Arabidopsis thaliana: one gene and its partners. The protein of the gene in region 4 interacts with the protein of the main gene of each other region in a pairwise test. Each region holds a gene or a part of one and is shown on either strand. Other genes may lie near its edges.

The links.
Region 1: the proteins of GIF3 (region 4) and GRF9 interact in binary tests that used the Arabidopsis thaliana proteins (3 or more experiments, as listed by UniProt).
Region 2: the proteins of GIF3 (region 4) and GRF1 interact in binary tests that used the Arabidopsis thaliana proteins (3 or more experiments, as listed by UniProt).
Region 3: the proteins of GIF3 (region 4) and GRF5 interact in binary tests that used the Arabidopsis thaliana proteins (3 or more experiments, as listed by UniProt).

What each region holds. Positions count from the first base shown.
Region 1 is NC_003071.7:18,743,775-18,748,185, reverse strand, and holds GRF9 (growth-regulating factor 9), read right to left. Parts: upstream 2,847-4,411; 5' UTR 2,610-2,846; coding exon 2,384-2,609; intron 2,043-2,383; coding exon 1,572-2,042; intron 1,474-1,571; coding exon 1,288-1,473; coding exon of another isoform or gene 1,247-1,287; exon of another isoform or gene 1,196-1,246; coding exon 783-1,195; 3' UTR 552-782; downstream 1-551. Other genes in the region: AUR3 (ataurora3), read left to right, coding at 1-164, 250-322, 418-528; FLA8 (FASCICLIN-like arabinogalactan protein 8), read left to right, coding at 4,127-4,411. UniProt on the Arabidopsis thaliana protein: Transcription activator that plays a role in the regulation of cell expansion in leaf and cotyledons tissues.
Region 2 is NC_003071.7:9,726,750-9,731,845, reverse strand, and holds GRF1 (growth-regulating factor 1), read right to left. Parts: upstream 3,367-5,096; 5' UTR 3,006-3,366; coding exon 2,678-3,005; intron 2,515-2,677; coding exon 2,302-2,514; intron 2,057-2,301; coding exon 1,684-2,056; intron 1,384-1,683; coding exon 705-1,383; 3' UTR 545-704; downstream 1-544. UniProt on the Arabidopsis thaliana protein: Transcription activator that plays a role in the regulation of cell expansion in leaf and cotyledons tissues.
Region 3 is NC_003074.8:4,606,435-4,611,036, reverse strand, and holds GRF5 (growth-regulating factor 5), read right to left. Parts: upstream 2,962-4,602; 5' UTR 2,512-2,961; coding exon 2,313-2,511; intron 2,034-2,312; coding exon 1,502-2,033; intron 1,424-1,501; coding exon 969-1,423; intron 885-968; coding exon 877-884; 3' UTR 540-876; downstream 1-539. UniProt on the Arabidopsis thaliana protein: Transcription activator that plays a role in the regulation of cell expansion in leaf and cotyledons tissues.
Region 4 is NC_003075.7:355,711-359,857, reverse strand, and holds GIF3 (GRF1-interacting factor 3), read right to left. Parts: upstream 2,514-4,147; 5' UTR 2,184-2,513; coding exon 2,100-2,183; intron 1,768-2,099; coding exon 1,691-1,767; intron 1,590-1,690; coding exon 1,481-1,589; intron 1,406-1,480; coding exon 1,132-1,405; coding exon of another isoform or gene 1,058-1,131; coding exon 930-1,057; 3' UTR 521-929; downstream 1-520. Other genes in the region: ATOZI1 (monopolar spindle protein (DUF1138)), read left to right, coding at 1-86, 165-310; AT4G00840 (DHHC-type zinc finger family protein), read left to right, coding at 2,753-2,941, 3,208-3,406, 3,502-3,593, 3,701-3,827, 3,942-4,027, 4,115-4,147. UniProt on the Arabidopsis thaliana protein: Transcription coactivator that plays a role in the regulation of cell expansion in leaf and cotyledons tissues.

The DNA of each region.
Region 1 (4,411 bases), on a different chromosome or scaffold from region 4:
AGGAAAACAATGTGTGGAACCTTGGATTACTTAGCACCTGAGATGGTAGAAAATAGAGATCATGATTATGCAGTTGATAACTGGACCTTAGGCATACTGTGTTACGAGTTTCTCTACGGTAACCCTCCATTCGAAGCCGAGAGTCAAAAAGATACATTCAAGAGGTAAGAAAAGACTAGACTTTTTATCTTTTGTAGAAAATTACAGAAGCTCAGCTCCTGATGACGTTTTGTATTCACTGTCATGCAGAATTCTTAAGATTGATCTGAGTTTTCCTCTTACACCGAATGTTTCAGAAGAAGCCAAAAATCTTATCAGTCAGGTACACACCCAACCAAGCTAAAGCATACCCACAACGACTCTCTTGCTTGACTAGTTATTAAGCATTAACATATAGTTGTTTTAAATCTTTTGCAGCTTCTTGTTAAGGATCCCTCCAAACGACTCTCTATTGAGAAGATCATGCAACATCCATGGATTGTCAAGAACGCAGATCCGAAAGGTGTGTGTGCCTCAATTGATATTTGATGTATTCTCTCCCAATCTCAGGAGTCAGGACAAGTAGCTTATATGTAATTTAATGTTATGAGACTAATGTCTTAGAAGTTTAGCAAAAGCACTTTCCATGTGATATATTATCTCATTTCAGCACAATATAATCTTAGCTAAAATTCGTGTCTCGATATTTTTTTGTGATTTGACTTCTTCTAACATCTAACACAGAAAGATCCTTAGATTGAAACTAAAAACATCATTTGAACCTCGACAACATTTCTATGTTTCTAAACACCTGGTGAAAACAAAGACAAGTACTCCTCATCGTCGTCTTCACCCCTTAAAGCTGTGTCAGTAATGGTAGTGTCGGTACTGCAACTGCTAGTGCTCTTCTCATCAGAAACTCGGGGCAGTGTAATTCCCATGACTGAAACAGAATGCTTCTGGTCATCTCCATCTTTGCAAGGCACAACCGATCTAACAGCTGTTTCCACGGTTAACGGGCTAAACCCGGCATTCTCATGTGAGTTAGTAGTATCAACTGGATGCTTCTTCTTCATACCTCTATGCATGTGCTTATCGCAGTACTTCTGACCAGACAAAACATCTTTGCTGCATCTCCACTTCTTCCCATCTGTTCTTCGGCACCTTCCTGGTTCATTGTCTGTTTCAACTCCTTGTAAACGAAAACAACCACGTTCTACAACGAAGAAGCAAGATATAAGACCCAGAAGGTCATGTCTGAAAATCCCTATGAAATGACGATAAGCCAAGGTTGCAAAGGTAAAATACCTTGAAGAACAGTGTCTGGAGAAAAGTGGATACCATGAAACAAACCACCATTAACATTCATATTCTTCCATTCTCTGCTTCTTGCAATTATATCATTCTTCCTGTTGCTTGAGAATTTTGCAGCTTCTAAGCATTTATCAGATACCTCAGGGAAGAACTTTTGAACCGAAGGTTTGCTCTCATCACCTAGTAATGAAATAATGGAACCTGGTCAATCCATGGAGCAATGAAGAAATGAATTCTATAGATATTTTTCTGTTGTGAGTATGATGGTATCATGATACCTTGAAGAGGAACAACTCCAACACACATACTCGCCTCTTTTTCATTAATAAAGTCATCATAACTCATCTCCATGTTCTTTCTGCCGTGACTCACACTTTTGTTTGTGAATTCAGAGATCACTAAAGACGGACGAATGACATTTTCACAGGATCTGGCACTAGGCAGTGAAGCAATGGTAACTACCTGCGCATTACTAGAACCCGAGATTGTCCCATGAAGATGACTCTGACTCTCGTTATACCTATCCAAACCATAAGTGTTGTCGTATTTGGTTGATGATGAAGCAACCTCAGAAGAAGATTCCACAAGCTTTCTTGAACGTTTACGACCTCTATGCATGTGCCGTTCACAGTACTTCTCGAATAGAAGGACCGTGTTGCTACAGCGCCATTTCTTCCCATCTGTTCTCCTGCACCTAGTTGGTTCAGTTTCCAACGTGTCGATATGGGTTACTCCCTTGTTACTCAACACTGCAACTCAATCCCCAATAGGCACAAAATCAAATTCAGTCAACAGAAGTTTGTTGTGTATGTAAATCTTTTAACTTCTCCAACTCAGAACCCAAAAGCCAAAAACATGTTCAGGAAGTTAAATAAGCACAATAAAACCCATCAAGCATTTCCACAACAATACCCCAAACTTTACAACTGTTGAATCAGAACATAAACTTCTCTAGATTCTGAGGTCCAAGACTTGTCGTTATGTTGTCTAAAATCTTCTAAATTGTGTCTTTTTCTTACCCTAGCTCAACTATCACGCATATACTCCTAAGAATTTCTTGAAAAGAAAACTCGAATGTCAAATTACTTACGAGAAGAAGAGTGATAGTTGTAATTGGAGGAAGAAGAGAGAGCAAGACTGTTCCAAATAGGCACCACGAGATGATGAGGCACACGGAGACCAGCCTCTATGTATCTATACACCAAAGCTTGCATCCGAAACTCCATTAACTGCGCCGCCTTCATCCACGGCCACTTATTCCTCATCCTCTCCTCCTCAACCTCCTCCTGCTCCATTTTAGGGCTCTGCATCTTCATAACAAAAATTGGATTTTTGGGGAAGCTTTATTCAATTCCAAGAAAAAGGAGACAGCTTTTGAAACTAGCGACACAGAGAAGCAAAAACCCACCTCCCAAGAAGAAAAAGCTTTAACAACAAAACCAAACAGATACTAAAATCTCTTGCTCTGCTCGCTACTGTTCAATAGAGAGAGAAAGAGTAAAAGAAAAACAGAGGAAAGACGAAGAGGCGAGTGTGAAGAGATTTAAAGGCAGTTGTCAGGTTTCTGACAAATGCGTCAGCGTTTTTCAGCCTTATTTGAATACTTTTCGGACAATAAAAAAAGTTGAGTTTCCCTCTTTAAACAATGCCACAGAGAGACTGTTAACTCCTCTGTCCAGCTGCTCCACTATACATCATTACATCTCCACGTTCTTATTCCTCTATATGGGCCCATCTTATCATAAAAGGCCCATTACTACTACTCCATTAAGTTGGGCTCTACTCTTCTTCTTTTTTTTTTTTTTTTTGCTTTAATGATTCAAAATTTGTTGCTTCTCATTGGCCTTTACTTATAACATTTCTCTTTCACCTGATGCCTTTTCATCTTGGTCACATTTTTGTATTTCTAAAATCTATATTTTTCAGTAGGCAGGAAAATAAAAACAGAGCAAAATACTTTATTTTTATTTATAGTATATAAGGAAAGTTTGATCATGTAATGCTTGTATCATATACTCACTCACTAGTGGTTTTTTAAATATTGTCCACACGTGTAAAGTAATGCTTTAACAGCTCTAAAAATTCCTATAATGGGAAGCAGTGATTCAATATTGGTCCTCACCGAATTGTGGATAATTCTATTTATATGTAGAACATGAACGTCGGCAACCGAAATAAATATATAGAATTTGAATCATACATATTATACTGTAGATGATTACATAATATCAATACTTTTATATTTATATGTATTGGTCTTTATATATTGTTTTCTACTATACGAAATGTCAGGTTTGAATCATTGTTGAGTAAGATACATATTGTATTGGTCACTACACCAATCCACAAACAATTTATGGTATATAAAACATTTTCGATAACAAAATAGATAGCATTACTGAATACACTGACCACCACATATAAAACTCGACACTATTGATCAATTTAGATGAAGAAAACGAGAAACAATCTCCAGTGTTTTATTTAGGCCAAACAAATATCTAAGAGTAAAAAGAAGCCCAAATCTCTAATTTTTTGGTGTAATATAAACAACAAGACAATTAAATGGAATGGCCTCTTTTCTTCTTCCAGCTATGTCCGAAAAAGAACACATGGCCCCAATCCAACCCAACTCACTTCTTATAAACAACACACATTTCAAAAATATAAAGGCAAAATTAACTCTAGTCAAATACTCTAACCTAACCATGATCAAAATTTAACCGTGGTTAACAATCATCCTTCTCTTTTAACTTCATCTCTCTTCTCACTCAGTCTTCTCCACTTCCTCTGCTCCACACTGACACTTGAAAAAACTCAAAACCGTCTCATCATGGCGGCGTCACAGACATTCTCACTCCTCGCCTTCACTTTCTCCCTCCTCGCCTTTGCTTCCACCGTGAGTAGCCACAACATCACTCAAATCCTCGCTGATTCTCCAGATTACTCTTCCTTCAACAGCTACCTTTCTCAGACGAAGCTCGCCGACGAGATCAACAGCCGCACGACGATTACAGTTCTCGTCCTTAACAATGGCGCAATGTCTGCTCTCGCCGGAAAACATCCACTCTCCGTTATTAAAAGCGCTTTAAGCCTCCTCGTCCTCCTCGATTACTAC
Region 2 (5,096 bases), on a different chromosome or scaffold from region 4:
CGTGTTAGAATAAAATCTCCAAAAATTACACAAAAAAATCCAAATTAAAAACGTTATGGACCATCCATACATTGAGAGATTGGTCCTCCTCCACTCTTTATAATCAATTTCATTTTTTCTTGAAGAAAAACAAAAACAGGAATAAGTGAAAGGTAGGGTTAGAGAGAGAAGAGCAAAAAGTAGTTACAGGGACCCAAAAGTGGAGAAACAGAACCCAAAAAAAAAAAAAAAAAAACTAAAGTTGGAGACAGTTGTTTTGAAGAAGTGTTCTATGTCCAATCCACAAACAATGTTGCCTCTTGTCTGCAACTAGGAAACCTCTCGTCAAAATCTCTCAAGGATCACAAATTTTGTGACACTAACACTTGGTTTTAATTTTGTGGTTAGTGAAAAAAGTAAAAATTTGTATATTTTTCAGTTTTAGAACATTGTGTACATAGACTTCTTAAAACCAGGGATTTAGCTCAACGGCTATAAGAGGAACAATAAAATCAAGAATTTGATGATTGAGAACAAATAAGAGGAAAAACAAAGAACAAAGATTATGAAGAAAAAAACACACATCTCTCCTTTAGTTTCTTCTTGCTTTATATAGAAAGAAAACAGCAACAGAAACAACAATGCATCAAGTAAGAAAAACCAGAAACAGAGAAAAACAGAGTGTTTTTGTTTTCGCAATTGTCCTTAGTTTTTTTTTTTCAGTTTCACAGAGAAGGAGCAGTAGCAGAAGTATTCATCAGCGTGGTCGGGCCAAGCGGATCTTTTCCATCACCGTTCTTATTGTTGTTATCGCCAATGATGGTGCTGCTTGCCGAGCTGCTGTTAGAAAGAGAACCAAATGTCGACTTTTGCAAGACGCCTGTTGGAGAGGAACCAAACTTGGGACTATTGGTCGTGCTGTTTAGTACCTCGCCGAGTGGACCTCCCATGGAGTTGTTATTACCCCAGGAGATTGGTATCCAGTTATTCGTCTTTTTCCCGGGGTCAAGAAACTCGGTGTTGACGCCTAATCCCATGTGGATCGCGGGGTCAAACTCACGCGATAACCTTAAAGGTGAGAGTGCAAGTTTATCTTGAACAGGGGAAGATGGAGCCATAGGGATTGACATTGAGAGCTGAGTCCAATCCGATTTCAGCTCTTCGGGCCAAGAATCGACATTGTTGTGATTCCCCGCGTGCTTGGCTTGGTTGCCGAAGTCAAGATACGATCCAAAGCCTTTGGAAGAGGTTGCATACGAGGCTTGTTTATGCGACGGATTAAGTAACGAATCAGAAGAGATGAGTCCGAATTCAAAGGGATTATTGCTTTGTTTCGGATGAGTTTCCTTCGACTGTAAGTTCATCGTGGCAGGAAAAACCGAAGCCCCTCGAGAATTTTGAACTCTGCAATGCAACAAACAACCATTAAGATTTCTTGTTAATTTGTTACATCATTGAATCATCAAGAAAAGGAGAGTAAACAGTTCATTAAAGCAAAAAAATCCAAATATATGGAATCCTAAGCCTCATATTAATAAGGAGTGGTCACAATCATAAAAGATGTAGTAATAATGAATTGGTGGGTCTACTACTTACTCATAGGGCAAAGAAGTATTTAAAAGTTGAAAAAGGTATGAACATTAAAAACTTAAGAATATGCAGATAAGTTATATCAAAAAGGCAAGAGATGTTAAACGTTTTCACCTGTTAGCCAAAGAATCTGTAGATTGATTATTGGTATGATGTTGTGTTCCAACAGCAGCGGCAAGGCTATTGTTATTATCTGATCCACGCATCGCAACAGCTGAAGTCCCCGCTGCCGCTTTGGACACAGCAGCAGCGGTAGAAGCGGCAGCAGCAGAAGCAGCGGCGGCAGCATTAGTATTGTGGCCATTTTGGCCTTCCACAGGCTTTCTTGAACGATGGCGGCCTCTGTTAATATGTCGTTCACAGTACTTTTGATCGGGAACAGCGTCCCTCGAGCACCGCCATTTCTTTCCATCTGTCCGGCGACATCTCCCTGGCTCGGGATCCATGTTACCACCGGAAAAGCCCAGATGAAAAGAGCCCCATCCAACTTCATAATCACACAAAACAAAAAAATCTCTCAAGATCTCATAAAAACACCATTCCCCTAACAAAGCAAGAATCTTTAATAAACCCACCACCAATCCATACAAGATTCAATGTTCCAAAGGACTATACACTAAAAAAGATAGTATAAAGTTAATTCTTGGCTAATGTATTGGAGATAAAAGGAATCAAAACTATTGATCAATAATCTCAAATCTTTGAAAACAAAAGATAAGGAAGAGAACTTACAAGAATTAGGAGGCAAGGAACCATAAGGGAAAAAAGATTTCTTGAGAGAGAGAAGTAAACTAGATGGAACAGGGACATTGGCTGTGATATACTTATAGATCAACGCCTGTTGCTCTAGCTCTGCCCACTGAGTCAATGAAAAAGGTCCTTTTACTCCTGTCAACAAGTTTCCATGCATGTTGCTTGTGTTCATCATTCCTCCTAAACCATATCCTGACACCACAACAAAACCAATATTCCAAAATCAAGACTTCACTAAATCAAACTCTAATCAAAACCCATTTCTGTAATCTAACTCTAAGCAAAAGCCATATACTGATTTTCAAGAAAGTAAAAAAAAAAAGCAGAGTACTTTAGTTGTTTTTACAGTTCAGACCTGAGTTTCTACAGTACTGAAGATAAGGTGAGACATCTGATTTGCCTGAAGCAGAAGAGAAGCTAAGCATGTGTTCTTGTCCTTTACGAGGATCATTAATAGTGGTAGATCTCAGTAAAGGGATGCCTTGATGAAACGACAGCGTTTTAGCAGAGGCAGGGGAAGAAGAGAATCCATCAGTTGATGTTCGTGAGAGCTTTGAACTTCTCCAGCAATCTTCACCATCGAAACCGGATCTTTCTTGCTTGTTACTGAAACCAGATCCGAGTTCAGTTTGACCCGGAGAAGAAACGGTTTCATGACCAGAAACACGAACTCCAAGATCCATAAAAAATGGATTCAGAAGGAGACAAAGAAAAAGTAGTGCTAAATAATCACTTCAGAGATTTTTCCCATGGGAGGTAATCGCTTTGAGCTCAGTGAAGAAGAGAACCGAGAGAGAGAGAGAGACAGAGGGAGAAGAACGAGGCTAAGTTTTTTTATTTTATTTTATACTCTAGATATTATTTTTATTATTTTGGAGAAAGGATATTTATTATTTAATAATAACAAAAAGTAATAATTGTGGGAGTGAGAGATATGATATAGCTTTGGGTGGAGACAAAGAATGGTACCGAAAACACAATCAAGATCTCGGACATGTTACTACAAAGAAATGAAAACTATAATCAGATGCTCTACGTATGATTTTATTTTGATTTATGTATTATTTAAGATTTTAATAATTTTGTGGTTACTTTTGTGATATGAGAAAAATAATTATAGAGGAAGCAAACAATGAACTTTTTAAGATAAAAGACATGTGGACACCACGTGAGACATGTCTCTCTAGTTTCAACTTCAAACCCTAAGAAAGGAATTTTCATTTGCTTTTTGCTTTTTGCTCTAAAATTTGTTATGGTATGCATTTTTACCAAACGTTGCAAAGGGAAAGATGGGGTATACTTTAAGTGAGATTTTAGTATGAAAGAAGTTAGAGAATGAGATTGTCGTATTGAAATAATAAATATAGTATTGAGTTGAGTATCAAATATCTATCAGATTCACGTGGTTCCCAATTGTATTTGGACTGTCTAATGGTGTTCTCCAATGTACCCCAGCTGATTATAGTTACATGGGCCATTTATGTTTTTCAATCCTATCTCTTGGGTTTAAGTTTTATTACAACTTTTTTTTTTCAAATGGCCTTATCCCTTATGTAACATAAGTACATAAGTACATCATATTCATCGCTAGTGAAACTCATATCAATTAGGTTATGAATAATTTGTATTTGAAACCTTAAATCAGAAATTAGATAAGATTTTAATGGTTATATAAATTATATGAGTCAGTTCATTTTTTGCCAATAAGTTTTGAATCGGAAGTCTATAATCTAATATGATATTAGAATATGATTTATAATTCGTGTCTATCCCAATCGAAAATCGGTTCGATCCTAGCAAAAAAATTTTAGACAGCAGATTTTGCAAACAATTCTAGGGGCATTACTTTGAAAAATGTGCATCTTGAGTTTTGCATTCGTATCAAATGTTCAGAAATTCAAATTCACCTTACCTTTCTATTTTCCAAAAAGGTTAAAATGATTTTTTTTTTTTTAATTTGCTTTGAAATTAAGAAGTTGGGCTTTTCGATTCACATAAGCCTTTTCGTCGTAATCAAATATTAAAGGTGCCTAGAAGTCTAGGATGGGAGCTGGATCCAAACTATACTAAAACCATGCACGTGATAACCTGATACCCACCTCATATGAACCCAAACCATACTAGTTCTTTCTAAGACAAACAGAAGAAGAAAAAAAACACTTGCCTTTAAGCTAATAGCTAATGGTTTGGAATTAAACAATAGAAATATTTACTACGTTAAGTTGACAACGTAAAAACAAAAAATACTGTTAACTTATATTAGAATATTTTTTTATTAGTAATGGAATTTTTATTAACAGTTTAAAATATAATTATTACCCAAAACAAAAATGTTTTTATATTTTTGTTGATTTATAAAATATCTTATGATTTTTTTTTATCAAATATCTTATTAGTCATAAATATAAAATTTAATAGATATTAAAAGTTTACTAAAAGAAAAATAATTATTAGAGTCATATCAATATTTATAACAAAAATGAATATCTTTTGTTAACATAATCAATTTGTCAGTTAATTTTGTGGAACCCTGAACACAATAACCATTTAAAGGTTAAAAGTAGCAATATTGACAACTAAACGTTTTATTATAAGAATTCAAAACCTTAAAGGTATAAACTGCAAGTTTTTGCTCTATTAGATTATTTATGGGATTAAGAATATACATTTGATAAAATTAACAAACTATTTTGTTATTTTTTCATTCAAAAGAAAATTTATTATTACTCAAAAATACAATAATGTTACACTCCCATCACTAGCTACTACTACTA
Region 3 (4,602 bases), on a different chromosome or scaffold from region 4:
TAAAAATATAAGATTAATGTTGGTAATGACCAATGATTCCAAGTACTCATACGCACGTAAAAGGATTAATGGATCAAGAGTCATGACGTTTTGTCTTTTAACTCTCCCATCTTTCCTTTTGCTAAAGGAGCACATACATGGAAGGAAGCATACACCAAAAGTTGTATATGATTGTTTGTTTTCTATAAACGACAACAAAATTTATGGTTCTTCTTCTTATAATAATAAGTTTAATGTTTTGCCATATTATGTAGAGTTTTGACCATACTCTCGTTTCGTAAATGCGTGATTCAAGACTTGGGCCTATGTAACGTCATTTCATAACCTGCGGATAATCTCAACATACAGCCATTTAGATAGTAATTGATTATTTGTGTCTGTGTTTACATATAAAACTTTAACTAATTGCGGATAATCGTATCCTTTGCCCTACAGAATTTGCAACCTAGTCTACTATTATTCCTCTGCATGAATGTTTTACATTTAAAGTAAGTTAATCAGAACATGGCCTTAGAAAAAATCTAGATTATATGTGTGAAACTATATAGATGCTTGCATCCTAAGAAACAAATAAATTATATATAACGATACCCCTCACAAATCAAGTCATGTTTTCTTTTGTTGCTATCAGCGACAGTAAAATAAAATCTGATTTCTTGAGAAAGCAAGAGAACACATACAGATATATCTGTCGGATCACTTTTTCTTGTTGGACCTAACACACATAGAAAAAGATAGAAAAAATACATATAGGATTCTGCAAACAGTGTCTTGTCTCATTGTTCCACGGAAATAGATGTGAAATGTGACTCTTCTTCAACATTTCACAGTTGTGTGTGTTGGTGCAGATCCATCATTGATGCCAGCTCTACTTAATTAGCTACCTGAGAAAATAAATTTAAACTAATTTTGAAACTATCAATAATTAGCATAGATCATAAGATTACGTCTGCAGATTAATTAATTACCAGTGTCGAGTCTTGAGTGGGAAGAAAGGTCAAGCCAAGAATCTGAACTGTTCTTGTTCTGTGCCCAGTCCTCACCAAAGAAGTGATGTAGAGACTTCTTGGACGACTCTGATGAATCTTTCTCATCTTCTTCTTGATTTTGATCTTGTCTTGATGAGTTTGCAAGGACACTTCTTGTAGGTTTGTTGAACATGTCGGCGCCCAAAACAAAACACTGTTGCTGTCTATGATCATGATCATGATGAAGATGTTGAGATGATGATGAGGATGAGTATGTGTGATGATGATCAATCTTATTATGATCAGTACTACAGTGGTGGTACGGATCATTCATCACTGTTGCTAACGGTTGTTGGTGATGATGGTATGGAGAATCTTGAAAGCTTCTAGATGCTTCTGGAAAGAACGTTCTCTCCCCAACTCCTCCAACTCTCTCCCCAATCCCTTGAAAGTACCTGAATTCAAAAAACAATCCATCAATAAAAGTTTCCATAAAAGATCAACAAGAGAAACTAAAGATAAGATCACAGAACCTGAAGTCTTTGTGGTCAGTAGCAGAGGCTAAGACATTGAACTGAGAAGTAGAATTAGTATTTTGATGAAGTGACAAAGCGGAAGCATGATGAAGAGTTTGTTGTTGTTGTTTGGGTGAAGTAGAAGGATAAGGATAATCAAGAGAATGGCTGTTGAAATAACCTCTAGTGTTACTACTACTTCCACCAAGCCCAAACCTATTACTGTTACTGTAGGCATCCATTGAAGAAGAAGAAGCAGAATAAGTAGTAGAAGAGGAATTAGAGGAAGAAGAAGAAGACAAGGTGGGACTTGGGTTGTTGTTGTTGGTGAATGAGAGAGATGGTGATGTTAAAGGAGTTGTTGTTGTCTGATTCTGATCAAGAGATTTTCTGGCACGGTTTCTTCCTCTGTGCATGTGTTTTTCACAGTACTTCGAATCTGGGTAAGCTTCTCTTGAGCATCTCCATTTCTTACCATCTGTTCTTCTGCATCTTCCTGGCTCTGGATCTGGTTTTCTCCCAAATCCCATCTGGTAACACCCCCATCCAACTGCATCATTTAATTAAAACGAAACCCTAAAATTAATCATGATGTAAAACCCTAATTAGGACCTTAAGTTCCAAAATCATTAAAAGTAAGACTGTGGAAACTGAGTTTTTAAAAGTGGTCGTTGAAAAAAAAAGCTAGAGACTTTAACCAGAAACCAAATCACTCTAAAACACATAAAGCTGAAAACTTTGGGGGCATGAGAATCAACAAAAGATTGAAACTTTATGCAAGAAAAGAAAACATGAAAGAAAGAAAATTAAGTATAGGTATAGGGCTTACGGGATTGGTGAGGAAGGAGTCTAGAGACCAAGGAAGTGTCCAAGCTTCTTCTAATGGAGAAGATGAGCTCAGGTGGGACAGGAACACCAGAGACCATGTACTTGTAGATTAGGGCTTGATGTTCCAGTTCTTCCCATTGTGTTGGTGTAAATGGAGGCCTTCCTATTGTTCTCCCGCTACTTCCACTTAGACTCATCATCTTATTCTCTAGCTTTCTTCAGATAGTTTATATATGTAGCAAATTCAGAAGCATAAAAGAAGGAAGAGAAAGAGCTTTCTTGATGGATTCAGAGATTAGGGCTCCTGAGTTTCGGACAGAGACAGACAAAGATGACCACTTTCTCTGTCACTCTTTTCCTCTGGTTTGATATCTCTCTCTCTCTCTCTCTCTCTCTCTCTCTCTCTCTCTCTCTTTCTAAGCATATATTCCTCAGATGCAAATTGCATGAACACTAGCTAGGTTCTTTCTCTACACGAGGCCACTCCCTCTTTTATATATATACCCTACTTTTTTGTATTGAGGAAAGATAAAAGATTATTACACAATAGAGATTACTATACAATTAGTCACACTCTAGTAGGGTTTATTTTGGGGGGAATGGTAATCAGAAAGTTAATAAATCAAAGAGTGATCACAAAGAAGAGAGAGATATTTAGACAGTGTTGAAAAGAAAAAAGAATCACATCAGGACAAGAGCTTTTAAGGAGTTTTGCCATGTAGTGTAAAATCAAAACAACATTAAAATATCCAATATTGTAAAATGTAAAAATAGATAAAATGTATGTAAGGGGGATGAAGAAGAAGAGTGTGGTCCTATAAAGACTGGCAAATCTGAAGAGACTCAGGCCCAGTGTTCCTGTTGCTTCTTCTGCAGCACTTGATGCTCCTGTCTCTCTGACTACTCTTTCCTCTCTTCTCAATCCTTTCTTCATCTTATTTTTCAAAATTTAAGTATTTTTTGAAATTATGTGTATTTTTTTCTATAAAAGTGCATTGATTTTTGGGAATCTTTTTTATTTATTTTTTCCTTTGAGCTGACGCCTTTTTAATTTCAGCTGTATCCCAACACTTGATGGCCTAAAAATGAGTGCCATTTACCTTTTTATTGAGCTCATTTTTTTATTTATTACATTTAGTGAGCTCTGTTATTACTGTCTAAAAGACAGAGGAAAATCAGATAGATGCAAGAAGAACAGATAGATGTTAAAAAAAAGAAAAAAAAAAAGAAGAAGGAAATACGAGTATTTATGAAAAGAATTCGGAATAAGCTTCTTGTATCATCACTGCACGAATCTCTGACTCGGGAGAAGAAACCAAACTTATATGCTGACTTGAAAAAGAGTAAGATTATTTTACAGTTTCTGACGACAATACAAAAGAGAGATTTTTACTAAATTTTCACATTTTCTTCTTAACATCTTTTACATAAGTTGGCAAAATGGTAAATAAGAAAGAAAGAAAAGGGTGTTTAGATGAGAAATAGAGAGCAGGGGAGAGACCATTGGATAAAGAAGGGGACTAGGTTTGTTTGGTTGCAAGTGAAGTGAAAGTACTTTTGTCCTTTTTATATAAAAAATGTTAGATATTTTGTCGTTTTTATTATGTATTTTTTTCGGCATTGGTTTTTACTGAAGAAAAGTTTTCGGAATAAAAAAGAAGAGGAAGACATGTGAAGAATCAGAAATATACAGAGAGGGTTGGGTTCATTAAGTGCATAGAAAAAAAAAAGAGTAAGACTGTTCACTCCTCTGTTTGTTTCTCTGTCTCTTTTCACATGCTCTGTCCTTTTCTCTCCTTTTTTTGAAGCCCCCTAGATCTTTCTCCTTACACACCTACTACTACTATCTACCATTCTTTTACATGCACATCTATAAAGGTTTTATATCTTATGTACATATACATGATACATACATATACATGAGCTGATGAGCATCGACTTTAGGGTTTGAATGATTTTACATAGTGGATGAAACAAACTAGTACAATTGATAACATTGCGTAATAGTAGAATGATGGGATATAGTAAAAAAGTTGATAATTATCGCGATTTCTACAAATTTTTGTAATTAGCAAATACTAATTCAATCATTTGGCGATTACAAATTATATCCTTTCTTCAGTACAAAATAATACATATGTAATTGGTTAATATATAGCTAGTGAAGATCAACCCAAGAAAATAAAGATGGTTACCTTGCGATGACCACGTACTTAAACAAAATGGTGTTCACGCGATAAACCATCATCCTAAATACTTTTGATTATATACATCACCTTCTAAATTGGTTC
Region 4 (4,147 bases):
TACATACATTATCGGTGCCCTTGCGGGATCTGCGGTAGTAGCTTACGTGTGTGACAAAGTTATTTCTGATGATAAGCTTTTTGGAGGCAAGTTTTAAACCTTATAAAGCTACTTATGATGTATCCAGAAAGCTAAATTTGGTTTGGTTTGTTTTGAACTCTCAGGTACTACACCAGGAACTATTACTAACAAGGAATGGGGTGCTGCGACTGAAGAGAGATTACAAGCATGGCCAAGAGTTGCTGGTCCTCCCGTCGTCATGAACCCTATCAGTCGCCAGAATTTCATCGTCAAGTCACGTCCTGAATAACTTTTGATGCCTTCTCGTGCATCGTTCTCATTCGTTATGGATTCATTTTCGAATATCTGCTCTTTTGTGTTTGATTTGAGGATCGGCTGATTGCTCTAGCTGGTTATAGTAATAATTTGTGTTGATGCGTAACACATTATTCGGATCAAGCTTTTCCCCGATGCATAACTTTTGTAAGGTTTGTTGATTTTGACGATAAATGAAATCGAGCCAAAAAGAAAAACTTCTAAGACATTATTGGTTTGTTTGGTTTGGAATTTTGTTATCGCTGATTCTGTAAACATTTTTAAAACTGTTACTTTTCATCTCAAGCCTTGGAATTAATTATCACACAAACCTGGAGGCAAACTATCAGGTAAACGTGATTCTAAACCCGGTTCATACACCAAATTGAACCGGTGACACTAATACCATACAACAACATTTAACATTGTACATGTGAATGTGAACCATTCCACATCCATCTAGGAACTGAAACTCAACTGTCTCAGAACCCTTTTAACAGAGACTAACTCATAAAATGACAAAACCTTTTTTTTATATCATCGTGAAGAAAGTAAAAATGAAAGGTAGAACCTAATTGATATCAACAAGAAGCATCACTTATTCTTCCTCTATTTCATTTTCCTTCAGTTTTTGCATCACCACCGCCATGTCTAGCGGCTGAGCCACCTTGCCCATCAGCTCCACTCTGGCTCATATTGGTCCCATCCGGTTTACCTCCTCCACTAGCATCGTTAGGACCCGCTTTTGGTAGAGAAAGAAGGTGAAAATCAGTAATGTGATAATAAGTTCCAAACTGCTGTAAAACCAAATATTACCATTGTTTGCGGCAAGAGCAGTTTCATGGTGGTGCATTTGATGTTGCAGTCCGTTGTTATTATTCAAACCCATTGGTCTAATCCCCATGTGCCCTTGCATAGCTTGTTGATGTAACTGTTGCTGCGGATCCAGAAACTGATGCGGGCTACCAAATTGCAATGGACCTCTAGGAGGGAAAATCCCAGGAGGTATTTGTTGAGCCATTCCCACAGCTTGATGTTGCTGCATGAAGTAGCTTGGTGGTGGCTGCATTGATGACGGATTAGGAGCCATCTACAGAAACCAAACACACACAAACTATAAGAACCAAAATGTTTTGTTTTTCAACTGATCAAAACAGAAACTTACTGCTTGGGGAGTCATGGCTCCTGATGTTAGTGTAGCTGCTGGTGGCTGAGGTTGAGCATCCGCAATTGCAGCGAGATACATCAAATTCTTCTGGAGAAGAGCTTGATACCTAAAAGAATCAAGCAAGAACCATGTTTTATTATTAATATTCTATTTACCATCAGTAAAGCTAACATAGCTCGGTCTTGGTATCGAGAATCCCACACTTACTGAGCACATTCTGCAAGTTTACCGAGGTTCTGATTTTCCAAGATCGCCATTATCAGCTTCTTGTTCTCATCAAGATACTGCAAGAAGCAGCAATAAGTGACTCACTGTGTCAACATGTCATCTTCACAATCTGATTTTAAGCTTTCAAATCTCATATGCATACAAATACTCTGTTTTCACTCAAAAAAAAACTCCAAACTCATGATTGTACATCCAATTCCAGTAACAAAAAAAAGTTAAAGCGGAAAACAATGACACTTTAAAACAAATCATACTCAAGAAGGAAAGTTCATTACAACAGTTTAAACTACTCAAAAACATCATTACACAACCAATTTCAAAGCTACGATAAACAGACATTATGACTAAACAACAGAAAGACAAAAAATATAGAAAGTAAAGTAGTAACCTTTTGGATCTGTTCGGTGGTGATATTATTGGTGGGCGGAAATGAAGGAAGAACCATCGGAATCATCTGTGGAGATTGCTGCATCTTTTATAATTCACCAATCAAAACTCTGAAACAGTGAAACCCTAAAGTTTCTTCTCACGATTATTACAAAACAATAATTCTGAGTGATAGAATTGGTTTAAGAGCCCAATGCAAAACAAACTGATGCAAAAATATTCAACAAACGAATATTTTGGATTATCCTTAAATTTAAGACTTTTGATTTGTTTGAATTTCGCCGACGAGGTTTCTGGGAAATCGTAGGACAAAAAAGTCCCCCAACCAATTAATTTGTCTCCCCCACCGAATGTACACGTGGCACCTTGTCTGATTTTTCGTCAGCTCTACGATAACCAAAAAAAGACAACATTTGTAGCTGTTATTATTTATTGGGCCTGTTAATGGGCCTTATAAAGAATTATGAAAGCTTCTGTGTCAAGAAGAAGGTTACTTTAAATCTGTATCAATATCAGCTCCACGACGGCGATTCGTCGTTGTCCTCCGAACCAAGCAAACTCCGATCCCTCACCGTGGCTCCGGATATTTTACGGCGGTTGTTCCCGGCTCGGACTCGAAGAATTGTCCGGATTCTCCCTTTGACCAGGCTGGAGATGAACCTTTTCCGGTTCTGCTCCGGTCTGAAAGTCCTCGGCTATTTCATGATCCTTCTTGTCGTCGCCGTCGTTGGTGTATCTTACTACGCCGTCGTAGTTAGCACATGGTGGCCGATCTTGATCCGCGGAGACCATGGAGCTTTATCCGCCCTCGCTGCCTTAATCATCTTTGTTTTCCATTTCCTGGTAATTTCCAAGTCTCATAATTTCAGATTAGGTTTTGTTTCTGGAATTGTAAGTCTAGGTTTTCTGCTACTTAACCCCTAAACCTTAAACTTAGGGATGTGGCATGAAACTTATGTAGCCAAGAGAATGAGAAATGCAATGTAGTTATGAAGCATGAAGCAGTGTAGATACATAATCATTGTTTAGACCATTGATTGTTAGTAAATGTTTAGGCTCCCTGAGTTTAGGTTTACAATTATACTTCTGATTTGCTTGGTTCTTTGCAGCTGATAATGCTGTTGTGGAGCTACTTCACAACAGTTTTTACAGACCCAGGTTCTGTTCCTGAGCATTTCAGAAGAGAAATGGGAGGTGGTGACAGTTTGGAGGCTGGTACTTCGACAGATCAAGGAGCTTTTGGCTCTTTAGGTTACTGTACCAAATGCCGGAATGTTAAGCCGCCTCGTTGCCATCATTGTTCTGTGTGTAAGGCGAAATCTGATTTGTTTATACTATGTTCTGCTTGTGTTTCTACTGATAGAGAAAGAAAGCTTTATTCGGTTCTTTGTTTCCTTATGTAGGTCAAAGATGTGTTCTTAAGATGGATCATCATTGTGTTTGGATTGTAAACTGTGTTGGAGCACGCAATTACAAGTTTTTCCTTCTCTTTCTGGTAAATATTCATTTCCATTGTAGTCTCTTATGGTTCTTAAAAGGTTTAAGCGAGCATTGGGATTATTTGATTTGCTGATTTCTTCACCCTCTTTTTTTAATTTGTAGTTCTATACTTTTCTTGAGACAATGTTGGATGTTATTGTCTTGCTTCCTAGTTTCATTGAATTCTTCAGCCAAGCTATAAAGCATTCTTCTTCTCCGGGTAAACTGGCCTCTCTCGTTCTGGCATTCGGTGAGTATAAACGGTTCTTTTTCTCGTTTTCCTTTTCCCAGAAAGTGCTTAGCTTTTTTCTGGGTCTCATTTTCCGTCTTTATGTTTCTTACAGATTCTATCCCCTTGATGCAGTTCTTAACTTTGCGTTCGTTCTCAGCCTTCTTTGTTTCGTAGTCATGCATATTTCTCTTCTCTCATCCAACACTACTTCAGTTGAGGTAAATCTTTTATGTTCTTGCTTTCACAAACAATCTAAGTCTTGAAAATATGAGTCTCTTCTCTGAATCATTGTCTTATTTTTTTAGGTTCATGAGAAAAATGGAGAAGTCAGATGGAAA